Linked DNA regions of Drosophila melanogaster. The protein of the gene in region 2 purifies or fractionates together with the protein of the main gene of each other region. This does not show direct contact. Each region holds a gene or a part of one and is shown on either strand. Other genes may lie near its edges.

The links. Proteins that work in one complex are often made in the same cells at the same time.
Region 1: the proteins of Patj (region 2) and veli purify together in Drosophila melanogaster (affinity purification with western blotting; one study listed by BioGRID). This does not show direct contact.
Region 3: the proteins of Patj (region 2) and kst purify together in Drosophila melanogaster (affinity purification with western blotting, with the first as the bait; one study listed by BioGRID). This does not show direct contact.

The regions. Positions count from the first base shown.
Region 1 is NT_033777.3:25,063,918-25,067,522, reverse strand, and holds veli (veli), read left to right. Parts: upstream 1-1,931; 5' UTR 1,932-2,008; coding exon 2,009-2,045; intron 2,046-2,108; coding exon 2,109-2,662; intron 2,663-2,726; coding exon 2,727-2,876; 3' UTR 2,877-3,105; downstream 3,106-3,605. Other genes in the region: Stt3B (catalytic subunit 3B of the oligosaccharyltransferase complex), read left to right, coding at 1-138, 192-390, 445-516; PQBP1 (Poly-glutamine tract binding protein 1), read right to left, coding at 890-1,521, 1,582-1,645; stac (staccato), read right to left, coding at 3,254-3,345, 3,407-3,588.
Region 2 is NT_037436.4:1,795,510-1,804,340, forward strand, and holds Patj (patj), read left to right. Parts: upstream 1-3,293; 5' UTR 3,294-3,414; exon of another isoform or gene 3,415-3,444; intron 3,445-3,472; exon of another isoform or gene 3,473-3,500; 5' UTR 3,501-3,639; coding exon 3,640-5,190; intron 5,191-5,250; coding exon 5,251-6,315; 3' UTR 6,316-6,675; downstream 6,676-8,831. Other genes in the region: Cdc37 (cell division cycle 37), read left to right, coding at 191-223, 284-487, 669-1,328, 1,393-1,665; CG12020 (uncharacterized protein), read left to right, coding at 1,856-2,840, 2,905-3,020; JTBR, read right to left, coding at 6,726-7,184; CG42676 (uncharacterized protein), read left to right, coding at 7,701-7,818, 7,924-8,058. UniProt on the Drosophila melanogaster protein: Involved in cell polarity establishment. Probably participates in the assembly, positioning and maintenance of adherens junctions via its interaction with the SAC complex.
Region 3 is NT_037436.4:3,348,197-3,353,107, forward strand, and holds the start of kst (karst), read left to right. Parts: upstream 1-1,911; 5' UTR 1,912-2,058; coding exon 2,059-2,140; intron 2,141-3,299; coding exon 3,300-3,490; intron 3,491-3,768; coding exon 3,769-3,936; intron 3,937-4,911.

The DNA.
Region 1 (3,605 bases), on a different chromosome or scaffold from region 2:
CAAGGACATTAAGGAAAGCGATTACTTTACCGACCGCGGTGAATTCAGGGTAGATGCCGAAGGTGCTCCGGCCCTGCTCAACTGCCTTATGTACAAATTAAGCTACTACAGATTCGGGGAATTGAAGTTGGACTACAGGTAAGCGGAAACATTTCTCTCAGGTAGCGATGCACACTAACTGCCTGTTTCAGAGGTCCATCTGGATATGATCGCACACGTAACGCCGTCATTGGGAATAAGGACTTCGATCTGACCTACCTGGAGGAGGCCTACACCACAGAACACTGGCTTGTTCGCATCTATAGGGTGAAGAAGCCGCATGAGTTCAATAGACCATCACTGAAGACCAAGGAGAGAACGATTCCTCCAGCAAACTTCATTTCGAGAAAGGTAGTGTACCCTGCAGCTCCCAATGAACTTCATTAACAATCTGATTCTTTGCAGAACTCTAAGCGTCGCAAGGGCTACATACGAAACCGACCGGTTGTTGTTAAGGGAAAACGAACCTTGAAATAAACCCAAAAAAAAAATAATTGTATTGATCTTTCACCAATATATATAACTTGGTTAAAACACTTTACACATAGCACATAGTTTGGTGAAAGTGTGTCCACCGCATCCTCATGTTGAGGGCTTTAATCGCCGCCTCAAATTCAACTTTCACATACTTCCCGACTCGTGCGACACAATTTTATCGAGTTGCTGCTTTCGTAAAATTTCCGGTTCCTTCGATTTAAATCTGTTCGCGGCTCCACCATTCATTGTCTTAAGCTAGCAATTCAATAAAGCAGAGTGTACATTTTTAAACCTTAATATCTATCATAGTTATTCATTTTTATTTGAACAGTAGCGATCTACAGCTCATAAGTCAAATGGCTAGTTAGTAGTGCTAGTTATCATTACGGCGACGTCGTTGGATTTTTCGTTCCAGGTCCCTGGACTTTTGCTTCTTGGCGGGAACGAATACGTCGGGCTCGTCGGGTTCATTTTGGTTAGAAGACTTGGGCTGAACCATGTTGGTATCGAAGTTGAACTCATCGTTGGAGTTGGCCAGTTGTCTGCGAAACACTGCGGCGCTGTTGGTGATCCGTGCTTTGGGATGCGAAGGAGGTAGCCACGAAACAGTCTGTGTGGTCGAGTTATAGAAGTAAAACGCCTTGCAGCCCTTATCGTAGACATCCTTCCAGCCCGCCTCCAGTGGATACTTCCGCAGCAATCTCTTGTAGCGCTTGAGATACCTATGGCTGGGCTGCGAAAGCGGCGAGCTGTTGAACTTGTTTACGCAGTACAGCGAGCACTTGTGGTATATGTTGTATTTGTTGGGACACAGCTTGTAGCCATGGTAGGACTCGTTCACGCCGATCCGCTCCTTGATGCGGTGCGACCAGAACTTCTCCTCGACGCTCCTGCGCTTGGGCTCCGGCGATGTGTCCTCCTTGTACGGGTAAGGGCCGCTCTTGTCATCGTCATCGTAGTTCTCGGCTATAATCTCTTCTATAGCTTCTGAAATCGGTGCTGCTCCTGTGGAAAGCTGAAGTTGGTTATCCTCTTTTTGGATTCTATACTGGTCTTTGTATTTACCCGACTGTTTGGTCACAAGTCCGCGCTTCTTCAGGCGCTGCAATAGTGCAGCTGGCAGGCTCATTTTGCTATTATTCTATTGTTAGTTTAAATAAATACGGTGCGGAAATAATATCAATATAAAATAATATGACCATGGATGTACGTGCATAAAATACCACACTTTCAAGAAACTTGTTTGTTTCAAAAGATAATTTTTTAAACGAAAAGTACTGAGATTAGATTATAAGTATATGATATATTGTTAAATATAAAAAATATAACTTTTGTTACTATTTTATTAAACCAAATTATTTCAAATAGAGAATATAATTTCACGGAATGGTATTTTGTGCCCCTGAGACGTATGGTCATATTATTTTCAGCTGCTCGAATAATATTTCAGGTCAGCTCAATTTGACTGATTATTATTAAATTGAACAGCAATATGGCCGATAACGCAGAACCACTGACTTTGTCCAGAGGTAAGGGTGCATGCTAACCATTCCCAGTTGGAGGAAACTCACACCCAATGCTCTAACTTTCAGATGTCAAAAGATCGATAGAGCTCTTGGAAAAGCTGCAAGCGAGTGGCGACTTCCCCACGACAAAACTGGCCGCCCTGCAGAAGGTGCTCAACTCGGACTTCATGACCTCCGTGCGGGAGGTGTACGAGCACGTCTACGAGACGGTGGACATCCAGGGCTCCCACGACGTGAGGGCATCCGCCACTGCCAAGGCCACTGTGGCAGCCTTCGCAGCCAGCGAGGGGCACGCTCATCCCAGAGTCGTCGAGCTCCCGAAAACGGAGGAGGGTAAGACACGCCCCTATGAGCTAAGAATCGAGGGGATTCCCCTATATCATAAAACCAATACCTTGATTGTAAAGGTCTATAGACCGAGAATATATGTTTCTATTATACATCTTATATGGAAAGCTTTATCAATCTTTAATTTTTGTTTTTCAGGCTTGGGTTTCAATGTAATGGGGGGCAAGGAGCAAAACTCGCCCATCTATATATCCCGAATAATACCTGGAGGCGTGGCTGACAGGCATGGTGGTCTGAAAAGGGGAGATCAACTTTTGTCTGTGAATGGTGTGGTAAGTCATTAATTCAGTTATGTACCTTAACTCCTTAAGAACTTGCAAAATATCAATATTTCAGTCTGTCGAAGGAGAAAACCACGAGAAGGCCGTAGAGCTATTAAAGCAAGCTGTCGGATCTGTAAAGCTGGTGGTACGCTACACACCAAAGGTTCTCGAGGAAATGGAAATGCGATTTGATAAGCAACGCAACACACGTCGTCGCCAATAAGGCACATCGGCAAAAACTTGTGCCATAGTAGTTTTTGCCATTAGACCATGCTGATATGCACGTATCAAGCCCTTTACGAATAATATAATTTAACACAAATACCATTTATATATTATTTATTACAAAGAAACTCTGGAAAATTACTCTTTAATCGTAAAAAGTGAGTGTTATGTATTTGTAACTAATTACCGCGTTGGTTTTTGTTCCAATAAATGTAATTAAAACTGTCAGACAATGCAAATCTTTTCTTCATAAGTTTCAGTCCATAAATGGGGCCCATTTCAAAACGCAACTTTGTAAATTTTAGTACGATTGCCGTAGAAAATATAAAAATACAGTTTTATTGCTTTTCTTTACAACGTATAACTTTTCACAATTTAGGAGAAGGATCGGTTCTTCAGCTTTTTAAGGAAATCCTTGGCCTGCTTATCACCTAGTCTGTATTCCAAGGCACGCAGTGATTCGGAATCTGAAAGCACATAACATGTATAAGTTTCCAGTTTTAATCTGCCAAAAGTATGATTAGGTACCTGTATACTCTGGTCTGGATAGATTCATCATTATTTGCTCGCCCGGTGGTGTCGCTTCCAGATCTGCGAAAGATATATAGCTCTCTGCTATATACTGGCTCGACATGCCGAATAAATCTTTATCTTTGATGCTAAATACAATAAGACTATTCTTTTCACTTCGCTGGTGGTCACTCAAGTTTCTGCCGAATGAAGGTAT
Region 2 (8,831 bases):
TGCACTCATGCATGACTACTATTTCCTAGCGCGGCCCCAGAGTAAGCGGGGCTTATTATGGTATTATTCCGCAATAGCCCTGCGGTCACACTAATTTCCAGAGCAATCCAAAAAAAGGAAGCAGCCGAAAAAGAACAAAAACCTGCAGCATTTACATTCAAATATAAATCCGAAGCAAAGAAACAGCAAAATGGTGGACTACAGCAAGTGGAAGAACATCGAGGTGAGCCCACTGCTGGGTGCCAACCCAAAAAGTCCTCCTAATCGGCACACTACCTTTTAGATTTCGGATGATGAGGACGACACTCACCCAAACATAGACACGCCTTCTCTGTTCCGCTGGCGGCACCAGGCGCGCGTGGAGCGCATGGCGGAGATGGACCACGAGAAGGACGAGCTTAAGAAAAAGCGCCAGAGCTACCAGGCGCGCCTCATGGACGTCAAGGAGCGGATCTCAAAGAAGGATGGCGACGAGGAGGCCCTGAAGGTGGGTCATTGCACCGAATGCACTGCGCACTTGTTGCTTAGGCTAATGCCTGGTCTGGGAGTTCCCTATGTTCTCAATCCATCTAATTTATTCTTATTGTCAAGCTTATGATTGACTATCATCCTAAGTGGCCATCCATCTTTCATCGCAATGCTTAATCCCTAATTTGTATCGCCTACAGAAAGAGCTCGAAAAGATCGAGGCCGAGGGCAAAGAGCTGGACCGCATCGAGAGCGAGATGATTAAGAAGGAAAAGAAAACACCCTGGAACGTGGACACCATCAGCAAGCCCGGCTTTGAGAAGACCGTAATCAACAAGAAGGCCGGCCGCAAGCCGGATGAGAATCTGTCCGAGGAAGAGCGAGAGCAGCGCATGAAGCAATTCGTCAAGGAGAACGAGAAGCTCTGCCAGCAGTATGGCATGCTGCGCAAGTACGACGATTCGAAGCGGTTTCTGCAGGAGCATCTTCACTTGGTGGGCGAGGAGACGGCCAACTACCTAGTCATTTGGTCCATCAACCTGGAAATGGAGGAGAAGCACGAGCTGATGGCCCACGTGGCGCATCAGTGCATTTGCATGCAGTACATTCTAGAGTTGGCCAAACAGCTGGACGTGGATCCTCGCGCCTGTGTCAGCTCCTTCTTCTCAAAGATCCAGCACTGTCATCCCGAGTACCGCGCGCAGTTCGACAGCGAGATCGAAGGTTTCAAAGGACGTATCCAGAAGCGTGCGCAGGAGAAGATCCAGGAGGCGATAGCCCAGGCCGAAGAGGAGGAGCGCAAGGAGCGCCTCGGACCTGGTGGTCTGGACCCAGCCGATGTCTTTGAATCCCTGCCCGATGTACGTTCTAGTGATTCACTGTATGGGAATTACTTGACTAACTTTTCATGTATTTGCTCCGCAGGAACTAAAGGCCTGTTTCGAGTCCCGCGACGTAGAGCTGCTGCAGAAGACCATTGCGGCCATGCCCGTGGACGTCGCCAAGCTGCACATGAAGCGTTGTGTGGACTCTGGTCTCTGGGTGCCCAATGCCGCTGACTTGGAGGGTGACAAGAAGGAGGAAGATGACTCGGATGACGTCGCCGGTGGCGAGGAGAAGACCGACGATGCCAAATCAGAGAGTGCAGCCAAGGAGGAGCCCATCTACACTGGCGTCAGCACCGAGGACGTTGACTGATCGCCGCCACGTTTCCATCTACACCATAGCTCTAATCTTAATGTATTTGTCCACAAGCATATTTCATCCATAGCCAGATCCTGCGTCAGTTGAGTTATTGTATATAATTTGAATAAATTCTCAGTCACACGTCAAACATTCTGTGAACACTTCTGCCAGTTGTTATACGCTTCGACTCCGAATAGAAACAATGAACCGGCCGGAGCTGGACTACTACGCGGTGCTGGATCAGCCCAGAGGCGCCACCAAGGAGCAGATTACTCTGGCCTACCGCCGCCTGGCCATTCGGCTTTGCCCACATCGCGACAAGAAGGACGAGCAGGACTTTGTGCCGCTGGCCCAGGAGGGTCGTCTCACGCACCTCTCACCCATGGGCGAGCCCAGGCAGTGGGCCTACGTCAACATGGCCTTCGATGTGCTGGGCAACGATCTGTACCGGGCCATATACGATCGCTTTGGCGAGGCGGGTTTGTTCGAGGGCGTCATGCTGCCGAACGGATACTTTCCGCCCTATCAGTACGACGGCGACCACATGAAGGTCTACGAGCGGGTCTTCGGTAGCTACTCGCCGTATGCCAACGTGATCGATGCGATCTCCAATCCACCGAGCTTGTACGCTACGCGCCAGCATGGCATTGGCGTGCGTTCCAAGGACGCCAGTACGGAGAGGATCATCGAGCTGTCGCTGGAGGAAGTACGCACTGGCTGCGTCAAGCTGATGAACGTGTGGCGCCAGGAGATCGTGGACGCCAAGGAGTCGCGGCTGGAGAAGCGCAAGCACACCTTAAAGCTGAACATTGCCCCGGGAACTACGGCCGGAACTCGCTTCTGCTTCAAGGAGGAGGGCGATCGCTATCCGGCCACCATTCCGGGTGATATTATTTTCATTGCCGCCGACAAGCCGCATCCGGACTTTGAGAGGAGAAACCAACACGACCTGGTCTACAGGCAGTCTATTGGCCTGTGCCAGGCCTTCACCGGCTTCACGTTCTTCATTTGCACGCTGGACCGGCGCCAGTTGAAGGTGGTCATTACGGACGTAGTGCAGCCGGGATACACCAAAGTGGTTCCCCTCGAGGGACTCCCCAAGTGCCGCAATTTGGATGCAGTTACGGCCATCAAGGAGGCCAACAAGAAGGTGGAGCAGTTCGGGGATCTCATTATAGAATTTGATTGTGGGTTTTCCTTTTCTGTTGGAGGTTTCAATAGTTTCTGATAGTTTCTCTGTTTCTTCTGCAGATATCTTTCCCAAGTACTTGACTCCACATATGAAGCATATCACTCGCGAATTCTTCCGCGAATTCCGCAAGCTCGAAATAGAATTGGAGGAGGAGGAGGAACGTAACATGGTTTGATGGCAGACACCTTATTGTTTTTCCGTATTTGGAACACAGATATTTGTGCGTACAGAGAAATTAAATTCAAAATTTGCGTTTAAAAGGATAGATGTTGTTGGGTTATTTCGTATAGCCATATTACATACGAGCACATGCAGACTATATTCAAAAATCTTAGATTTAATTAAATTAGCAGATGTAACGGTCGAATTTGAATTGATTTTGAAAAGGTGGCAACTGTTCCGATTATGTCGATTGCTTATCGATGCACAACGCAGCCGCTCGGCAACCCTGTCCATCAGCTGTTTGTGAAAAGAAAATGCATTTGGCATTCCATTTCAGAGATAATTAAAAATCAATTACAGCAGCAGCAGCAGAGCAAGTGGCCACCGAAAAGAGTGCATAGGAGAGGGTAAACAACTCGCTGCATCCAAACGGCACAGTAACTGATCCGAAGCTGTCCCACTTAGAGCCCAAATCGAATTACCCGTTTTGCAGTTTAGGACAAAGTGTGCCAACGCCACAACGCCCCCACCCAGAAGTCCATAGAAACGCCAGCGGAAGTGGGATAGAGACGGGGACCACGCTCCACTGACCGCACCGCGCACCGCTCGCTGACCACGCCCACTGACGCAAGATGCACCTCAGCGCGGATATTTCCAGCGCCCTTCAGCAGATCGAGGCAGTGAAGAAGGGCATCGATGAGTCCGACGACCCCAAGCTGCAAATGCAGACGGCCGAGAGCCTTAGCACCATTCTGGGCATTCTGCAGGATCCCGTTTTCCGCACCATCGTCCACGTGCAGGACTCGTTGTCCGAGCTGAACGCCCAGCTGGCTCAGCATCCGTCCATGTTGCCCAACGACTTCGACATCGATGTGGCCGGCAACCTTGTACTCAGTCTGAATGGTGGCGAGGTGATGTACGACTTTGACGAACAGCGCTCTTCCTCGCACTCCCATTCGGCTCCGGGCAGTCCAGATAAGTCCGGAGGCGTCGGCGAGGAGCCGCGCCCGCAGAGCCAGAACTCCAAAGGAGCCGGAGTGGCGGATCTCTACGCCACGGACTACGCTCAGATCCAGGCCATAGAGCTGGTCAACGACGGCACGGGTCTCGGATTCGGTATTATTGGAGCTCGCAACTCGGGAGTGATTGTAAAAACCATCCTGCCGGGTGGCGTGGCCGATAAGGACGGACGCTTGCGCTCGGGCGACCACATCCTCCAGATTGGAGACGTCAACCTGCACGAAATGGTATCCGAACAGGTGGCTGCCGTGCTGAGACAGTCTGGAACCCACGTCCGCCTAGTGGTTGCCCGTCCCGTTGAGCAGAGCGTGCCTACGCCCCAGTACGCCCTGGAACCGGGCACTGCTGTGGTGCCCACGCGCGTCCTCGTCGATCCTGCCGAGCTGGAGCGGTACCTCATATCTACCGGCTATCCGGAAATCTTTGGCGAGAGCTCCACGGCCTCCACTCCGCAGACCACCACGGAAGACGATCGTTTCGTTTATCGCGGCGAGACATCAATGCTTATTGATCCAAACATCGACCTAGAGGAATTGCTTGCCCTTCCTGAAACGGAGAAGCTTCAGGTGGAGCTGAAGAAGGATGCCAACGGCCTGGGCATCACAATTGCCGGCTATGTGTGTGAGAAAGAAGAGCTGTCTGGCATTTTCGTAAAGAGCGTGTCGCCCGGTTCAGCAGCGGACCTGAGTGGTCGCATCCGGGTCAACGATCGCATCATTGAAGTTGACGGCCAGTCGCTACAAGGCTACTCCAACCACCAGGCCGTAGAGCTGCTTAAGAAGTCTGGTCAGGTGGTGAACCTGCGCTTGGAACGCTACCTGAGGGGCCCCAAATTCGAGCAGCTGCAGCAGGCTATCGCTGCGAATGACAAGCTTCCATCCAGTGCACCTGGAACGCCTTCAAGGGCTCCCATGCCCACGCCCGTGGCCACAACGTCCTCCGCCACAACTACACCATCACGCAGCATCACTCGCGAGTTGGAAGAGGAAGCCTTACCAGCGCCAGAAGCATTCATGACCACTCCGCCGTCGGTCACCACAATGACCACCACCACATTAAGCTCCTTTGGAGCGGGTAAGCAACTAGTAGCAGTAAGGGACTCCCTAGACGGCTCCACGAAGATCATACCCACGGAAGTTGTACCCTTGGCGGATAAAACGGAGGTGAGTATTAGCTAACGGGTAACACAGCAGCAAAACGTATAGCGCATTAACATGTTTTAGGCCAAGAACAGCGGGGTGATCACCCGTCACAAGTACTACACCGATCCGGAACTGTCCGACGACGCCGAAACCGAAATTATTCGCAAATGGCAGAAGATTGTGGGCTCCGATGTGGAGGTGATTGTGGCCCAGATCAAGAAGTTCGCGGTCGGAGGCTTGGGGATTTCCTTGGAGGGAACCGTGGACGTAGAAGGAGGGCGCGAGGTACGACCCCATCACTATATTCGTTCAATCTTACCTGATGGACCCGTTGGCGTGAATGGAGTACTCCGCTCTGGCGATGAATTGCTGGAGGTAAACGGCGAGCGGTTGCTGGGTATGAACCACCTGGAGGTGGTGGCTATACTTAAGGAACTGCCGTTGGATGTGCGCATGGTTTGCGGTCGCAACAGGAACAGCTCGCTTCTCCCATTCTCTGATGACACCCTGAAAAAGCTAAGCAACAACTTTGAGAACCTGCTGCCTGCTACCGATCGTCTGGTGAAGGCCAAATCAGATGGTAGTCTGGCCACCGCGGGCTCCGTGGCCGATGGAGATTCAGTGGCTGCCGCCGCTGCTTCGTTTAGTAAGCTGAAGTCGCGCTCCCTGGAGCCACTAACCGGATTGGCTATGTGGTCGTCCCAACCGCAAATTATCGAGCTGGTCAAGGGCGATCGCGGTCTGGGCTTCTCTATTCTGGATTATCAAGATCCGTTGGATCCCAACGATACGCTGATTGTAATCCGTTCTCTGGTCCCTGGAGGGGTGGCTCAATTGGACGGACGCCTTATACCCGGAGATCGACTTTTGTTTGTGAACTCCATTAACCTGGAGAACGCCTCGCTGGATCAGGCAGTGCAGGCTTTGAAGGGTGCTTCGAAAGGAGTGGTGCGCATTGGTGTGGCCAAACCACTGCCCATGACGGACAACTCACTGAAGGCTTGCAGCAATGCGAGCACCACCAGCGAAGAGACCTTGGACGCCCAGCCATCGCCTCCAGCCTTGCCCACAGTTGCTCCGCCCGCCATGCCGCCTAGTGCCTCCATGGGAGCTGAGCCCGACCTGATTCCCGACTGGCGGAACTAGGGTGTTACGATAACGAAGAATTTCACACATTCCAGGCATTTGAATCTTTAAGCCTGTTTTAAATCAAATCAAACGCGGTTGCTAACTAATGGATTAGTTAATCGATATTTTCTACGAATATGAACAACAGGCAGTAGAATCTGAAACGATGTCAGAAACGATGCCAGAAGTACAGGAGCGATTGTTATTACCGAAGCAAAATGTTATGCATATTATTAACGCCGAATTGTGTTTGTCCCCTGAAAACAAGCATTCCACAAGTATGCAATATATTAAACCCCCTAGTATTAGCAAATGAATTTTAACATGGTATTTCCAGAGTGTATGTACTTAAACTAAATTAAATAATGTACCTTCCGTACGGTCAATGAGTATCACTTGGGGAAGGGAATCGATGATTTGGCGGAGGGCTATTGGACCCGGTTTAGCTGTCGCTCGATTCTCATGTAGTTGCGCCTGGACAGGACTCGATCGCGGGCATAACTGACCAGGTAGCTAAGTAATCCGATTACAAAGCACGAGACCTCAAATTTCAAGAAGTTCATTTGCTCGATGAGCGCCACCCGGTCGCAGCTCCTGGTTACGATCTCGCCGCTCTGGCAGCGCAGCACCTCCTTGTAGTGCGTGTGAATGCAGACGCCCAAGCTCCGGCTGACTATATCGAATTCGGAGCACGGGTGGCACTCCTGCACCATCGTGTACTTCTCATTCCGCCAGCAGGTCGAGTTGTCCTCGATCACGAATTGCGGCTCTCGGCGACGAGGACCATCTGCCGCGTAACGAGATTCCACGAACAGGACGAGTATGGTGACCATCGTTAGGGCTCCTAGTCCAAGGAGCATGTGGTGACGCTGACAGTTCTCGAGCATTGTGAAGGCGGGCAGCTAACTCTTGTATCGGATCAAGTGCTGGAAACAACCTGGAAGAACCTATGCATGCTCAGTAGGTGGATAACTCCAATACATATGGACGGGATTACTCGAAATCCTATTGCTTTGCTTTTCCCCCTATGAAATCAGCTTTACTGTGTGACCAGGCGAGAGTTTTTATTTTTGTTCAGCCGTCTTTGGAACTAGTTCTTGCTTGGCATTTAAGATTATATATTAAAAAAAAATTGAATTTGCACATGCATAGATTTCGTAATTTAGATAAAGCGTTAAATTAAGGGAGAAAATAATATTTTTCGAGGAAATCTTATAAGCCGCGTATTCCGCTCCGATTCGCGGAACTGCAGATGTGTGGCCAGACTTCGGGGAGCTCGAAACTAGTTCGCTGTTTACGAACGACAATAAACGGAGACCAAAACAATTACGGAGGACAAGCACAAAGCGGACTTGAGAAATTTGTGAAAATTTTTATAAATCGCGTGTGTGGGCGCTTTGAAAATGGTGCTGCGATCGGGAATCATAATTCCGTTTCAGTTTCGCGACACGAAGAAGCTGCTGATGATCGGGGTGCCGCAGGAGAACCGCGACCTAAACATATGGGACCTAAAGAACGTGGGTAAGCACTGGTCTGGTCGGAGAGGGGGAGGTGGCTCAAATCACGGAGCCCCCAAGCGATTTGGTCGCCAAAAATGAAATATGTCTAACAAATCCCGCTCCACAGTGCGCGCCGCCTTCGGGATCTACAACTTCGAGTTCCGGAACAAGAAGATCGGCTTCAACATCCCGGACGAACTGCTGCTGCACTATCTGGCCCAGAGGCACGACCTCACCAACTTCGTTATAGAGATCAGTCAAGGTAAATAGCGTTTAAGTTACGGCTAAGTCGCGTTTCAATTAGCGTTTAAGCGTTCGAGTGACTGCGGGCCACCAAAAGTCGCGATTTCGCGGAGTTCCGGAGTTTCACAGTCAAGTCTTGTTTGTAGATCAGTTGTGTTTATGTAGACGATGCGTGCGCTTCGCTTGTAAGTCTCTGCGATTGCCATCTGTAATAAAACCCAAATTGTAAAATGCTCCCTCTTGCAGCTCTGGACGATGGCCACGCCAAGGAGATGCTCTCCTACGAGCCCTCATGCTCGATGGCGGTCCTGAAGCACCACCCTCATCAGCACCAGCACCACGTGCCTCTGCCGCAGCGGTCAAACGAAAGCGCCTCGCACCACGCCCATGAATATGTGCCTGACTCCCAGCCCACCTCTCCGGCCCTACGTATGAGTTCTGAGGCGGTGGACTCGCCACTGGACCAGCAGGGCAACAACTCGGTGCCGGAACGCACGGATAGTTCCCACAAACTGCGCCTGGGGCAGGCTTACTCGGAACGGACGCCGGAATCGATGACCCAGGCCATTGACCCCATGGATATTATACCCAAGTCGGAGTCCGAATCGGAGGTGGAACGTCTGCAGCGGGCCTCCAGATTCCTAGCGCGCCAGGAACAGCACCAAGCCCAGCAGCAACAGCACCAGCAGCAGTTGCTGCCCGGTCAGCAGATCTTCCCCAGCTACACGCATCCTTTGCCGTCGATGAATGCACCAAATACCTCCCAACAGTCGCCTTACACACCGGGTCTGA
Region 3 (4,911 bases), 1.6 Mb from region 2:
ATTTGGCTTTTAATGGAGTTGGGGTAATATTTGAATTTATTGATGAGAAAAGAGTGAAGATAGATATATTTCTGTTCATCTATCTATCTCATATTAAGTTAAGAGTATCATAAGTCTCTGTTCAACTTTAGCAGAATAAAAACGTAACTCTATAGATCATTTCCAGTTTAGATCTATTGTTTAAATTAAATCCAAGTCTGTGGCTCTTTCGTCTCCAGCTTAGCTGTTTTCTCTTTGAAATTGTTTGTTATTTTCTCTCGTTGATTTTAAAAAATTGTTTAGCATGCCAGGCACAAACAAAAGAATTTATATCACTGTGGGTTTCTACTTGTTGTGTTGTGTCAATCTGTATTCTTCTTTTCGACTGAGGCCAAAACTGAATTTTAATTTCCAGCCACTGATGAGGTAATTTTATGCGTAGAAATTTTTGACAACAAAGACCACCAATTCCCTAATTTGCCGAGCTATAGGTCTCATTATTTTCGGTTCAAAGCGGAGATGGCTGAAAAACTACGCTTTTATCAGACATATGCCATCACTCACGCAAAAGTAATTAAAATCGGTAACTACCTCGGATGTTATCTGAGTAGAAAAAGGTTGCCAAAAAAAGATGCCTAACTTCTTTTTGATATACTTTAAAGTATCATTTAATTCGGGATTTGCTAAATGATATGTGTGACTTAGCGTATGGGCCATAAAAATTAAGCATACAAAATGCTAAATGTTTATTGATTTATGCAAATTCTTACACAACTCCGAGGTTGTTGCACGCCTTGTTCATTAGCTAACCGTGTATGTGGAACACACAAGATCTAGAGAACACCGAAGAAGTTGAAAATCTATAAAAATCGTTTTCAAAGTGTTTGCGATGAGTGAAGTGTGGTGGTTTATAAATAGAAAGAGGCGCGGAATCCGAGTGTTCCTGCTCCCAGCTGCCGCGCATGTGCTGTGCTACCATGTTGTATCACAATTGAAGTAAACAGGATGCCCGGAATTCGAGCCTCGGTTCGCATTTGCCCCTGACTTTGCCTCTGCCGTCCTTTTCCGGCGACTTTAGTTGTATAAATAGTTTATGGCCAAAGACAGCTGTATGTGAGTTGGGGGATGCGTTCTATTTTGGGGATCAAGGAGGCACAGTTTTAATTGCTTTTCCTGCTAAGCCTAAAGTTATGCCGCACTCTGCATTTTCTAGGTTTTGTTTGCCACTCGATAATGATAAGCGTCGAACGTTATCGCGGTATGGTAAAGTTTATTGTCACACTGGTGTTGTTGGTTTTTTATTGTTTAGTTTTCACCTCTTTTTAATTGATTTTTCTATTTGCGAAAGCGAAGTGTTCTGTTTGCCAATTAGCCGCGAATGCCTTCCAGGTGACCTCAACGCCATTGGCGGCACATATGTATAGTAAATGATCTATTAGCGGAGTTATGACACCCGACCCGAGTAGACAGCAGATTATAACTCTTTGGCATGATGTCATTGGGAATGATCGAATTTGGCAGCTATTCTAAATGGCCCATTCATTAGTCTGCGGAATCTGATAGGGCGCCATAAATAACTTGATATTGGAAGTGCATTCCCCTCTATATATATGTATTTATTCCGAAAAACATATGTCCGAGGTATGCGGGATTTATGGACCGATAAGATAAGCCGACAGGGTCTATTGGCTGTTTGTCAAGGCAAGGATTTTCAGATACCTTAACCGTTTTCTCATACTGCTATCAGCTCGTGCGATAAAGGGAATTCACCATAGGCCAGTTGAAGCATTTTTGTTGCCACTCTTGGCATTTGGCTTTTAATTCATCTGATAAACAGAGCCAAGAGGGGGAGGAAGCTTTCCCCCACTCTACATTTTTGGGGCGTGCAAAATGTTGGGCACACATTGTTTTTAGTGACCAAACGGCGCGGGCTCTGCGAACATCTGACCGTAGGAACGAAACTTAGTGTCGAAATACAAAATAGAAATAAAAAACGAAAGATTAGCTTTAAGGAACGGCACTCGGTGCTGAAAGCCCGGATATCTTGAGAAACACCCTAGAAATCACTGATCAAAGGCCATGGAGTACAATAGTGTTCTGCGCTCGAATTTCTCGCGCAACGAGTATCGCCGATATATATCCTACGAACGCCAATCGTTGGGTAGGTTTCTGAACTTGAACTTTTCCCCTGGAAGCTCGCGATCATTATACAATCCCGAAACGAAAGTAACCTGCTCTTATCTATCTCAGTTGGGTGGAACTTCATATTTGGTTGATAAGAGCGCAAATATTTGGCAAATGAGTCAACGGCCTAGAAAAATGGTTTCGCTTTCTGCAGTTTCCGCTCCAATTTTGTTCACTTTTTAACATATTCTCTTGTCCAGTATTACGTAAAACGAACCGTTGATAAAAAAAAAGTAACAAAGTCGTGAAGCATTTTCCATAGGTATGAAGTAATTTTGGCAGTCGACAGATAAGCTCGCAGAACCACTATCGCTGGGCAGCGACTGTTTTGATTTCGATACGCTAGCTGGGGGTATATCTACTGGGTTGGAAAGTTGGTCACAGCTTGGTTTGTTTATAGTTGGTAGAGTTGAAATTATCTTACACTTGTTAGCAAAAGAAATTTAAAGATACCTTACTCTTTCATGAGGTAAAGTTACTTGAAATAAAGCAACAGATTGCTAATTTCTACATCTTAAAAATCTTTCACTATATTTTAAAATTCACTATCAAGCTTACTCAAAAAGGTGTTCACAATTTTGTTCAGCTAAGATCTAAATGTGAAACGCCAATCGACACATGGCTTATCTTAACGGGTCTAGAAAACAAAAGTACGTGATGAGGCGTTCGAATAAAAAGTGATTGTTGGTTCTTCGTTTGAAATACCCGTTGGTAATCTTTGACATTATGGGAACCCACTGATGGAATGATTTAAAATTAGGAATTACGTTTGACATAATCGAAAGACTACAAATAAACTGCCTTGGAATGTGGTTCTAACTTTAGCCAGGGATTTTTTTATAGAGGCAATTATGTTGGCGATAACTCGTTATCTCTAAATCAATAGGTTCGTACGTCACGGTCGTGCTTTCCCTATCTCTGCCACATACCTTTCGTATTTTTCCTCTATTTTCCCTATGCCCATTATTGATTTTGGTCTGTTGTCAGGTGGTTTGCCCATTTCTCTTTCCTGGAAAAAAATACAAAAAAAATGAAAAAAAATCAAAACAAACACTAAGCCTAAACGTTTCGCGTTGCATTTATATGACTTCGAACTAATCCGAGATTTTTGTTCCTCCTCCCTTCCCCCCACTTAGCATCACAATATGAGCCGGGAGGCTACTCCGCGCTGCAGACACCGACGCCTTCCAATCGCAACTCCGCCAACATGACCCAGCGGGACGGCATCATCAAGTTCGAGAACGAGCGGATCAAAACGCTGCAGGAGGAGCGCTTGCACATCCAGAAGAAGACATTCACAAAATGGATGAACTCGTTTCTGATCAAGGTGTGTAAACTACTTGAGTCACTCATCACTCCCAATACTTGTAATTTAATTACTATAAAGTACAAATGAAAGAAATGCTTTGTTTTGCTAAGCACATAAAGTTTTCATTGTTTAAATACTATAATTTCTCGATCAAAGTGATGTATTCAAATGAAAGCGCCATATGTATATGACATTCGAAATTATACATTCACTTGAAATTTTGATTGGAAGAAACTTTTATGGCCCCACCAATTTATGAATGCAACTCACATTTGGGCTTATCGTCTTCTTTGTAGGCCAAAATGGAGGTCGAAGACCTATTCACAGACCTGGCCGATGGCATCAAGCTGCTGAAGCTGCTGGAGATCATATCGTCGGAGAAACTGGGCAAGCCGAACAGCGGACGCATGCGCGTCCATAAAATCGAAAATGTCAACAAGAGTCTGGCATTCTTGCACACCAAGGTGAGATATGCCACATAAATGGCGGCGAGTGAAGGGAGTGAAGGCGTTGCAGTTGCTGGAAGACCAAAGACCGAAGACTGAAGACTGGAGAGTGTAAAGCTCTCTACGCATTTGTAGAAAGTGCAAGTCGCGCCTGCGCAGCTGCGCGTGGCCATTGCGTGCTTTGTTTGCCATATGAGGTGCACGGATCTGGCTGTTGGAGTCGGGATTTCGGATCTCGGGGAAGCGGGAAGTGTGAGGCGACGTCAAGACATGGCGAAAAAGTATATATTTAATTACCTAGCCTGGGCACCGCGTTTTCTTGGCAATATCTGAAATATTTGCATACTTTCTAATGCATTTTTTCCTTGACTTCACTTCACTTTGTTGCGCTTGGCACATTTTCCACTGCCGCGCTCATACTATACATGTGTACTTTCTTTGCACCTCTCGTGCGCATTTGATTTTAATTGAGCAAAGTGGGAGCTTAGCGTGCGACATAGTTTCGAATCTTCTGGCTAGTCAGGTGCCTCTGGTCTAATCTAATTAGAAGCAATTAAAACGCATCAAATTGTCCCACTGTCCAACTAATTCACTTTGTTTCTTAAGCGGCGAAGCAGTGAAAGTTTTCGGTTTTACTTTTCACCATTTCATTTCATTCCATTTCGTATTTCATTTGTTTTTCGGGCTTGTCTTTTGTGTGTGACACGGGTATTGAGTGCATTTTAATTGGTGTTTAGGCTTGAAAGAAGCCCGAGCGAAAGATTTACGCACAAGCGAGCATTCGATGGAGGATCCCTTGGGGACTCATTGAAGCGTTTAGCGGAGCACGACTCTTGGAATTTCCAGTCGCCATTAGGAGAACCAAAAGGCGTAGCTCCCTACTAAACATTAATGTACCAGAATAACTCGGAACGAGTCTATTAAAGCAAACGGTTTGTCGGGGAATAGGAATAAAGTTAGCTTACTGCCTTCTTATGAACTATTAAAAACGAT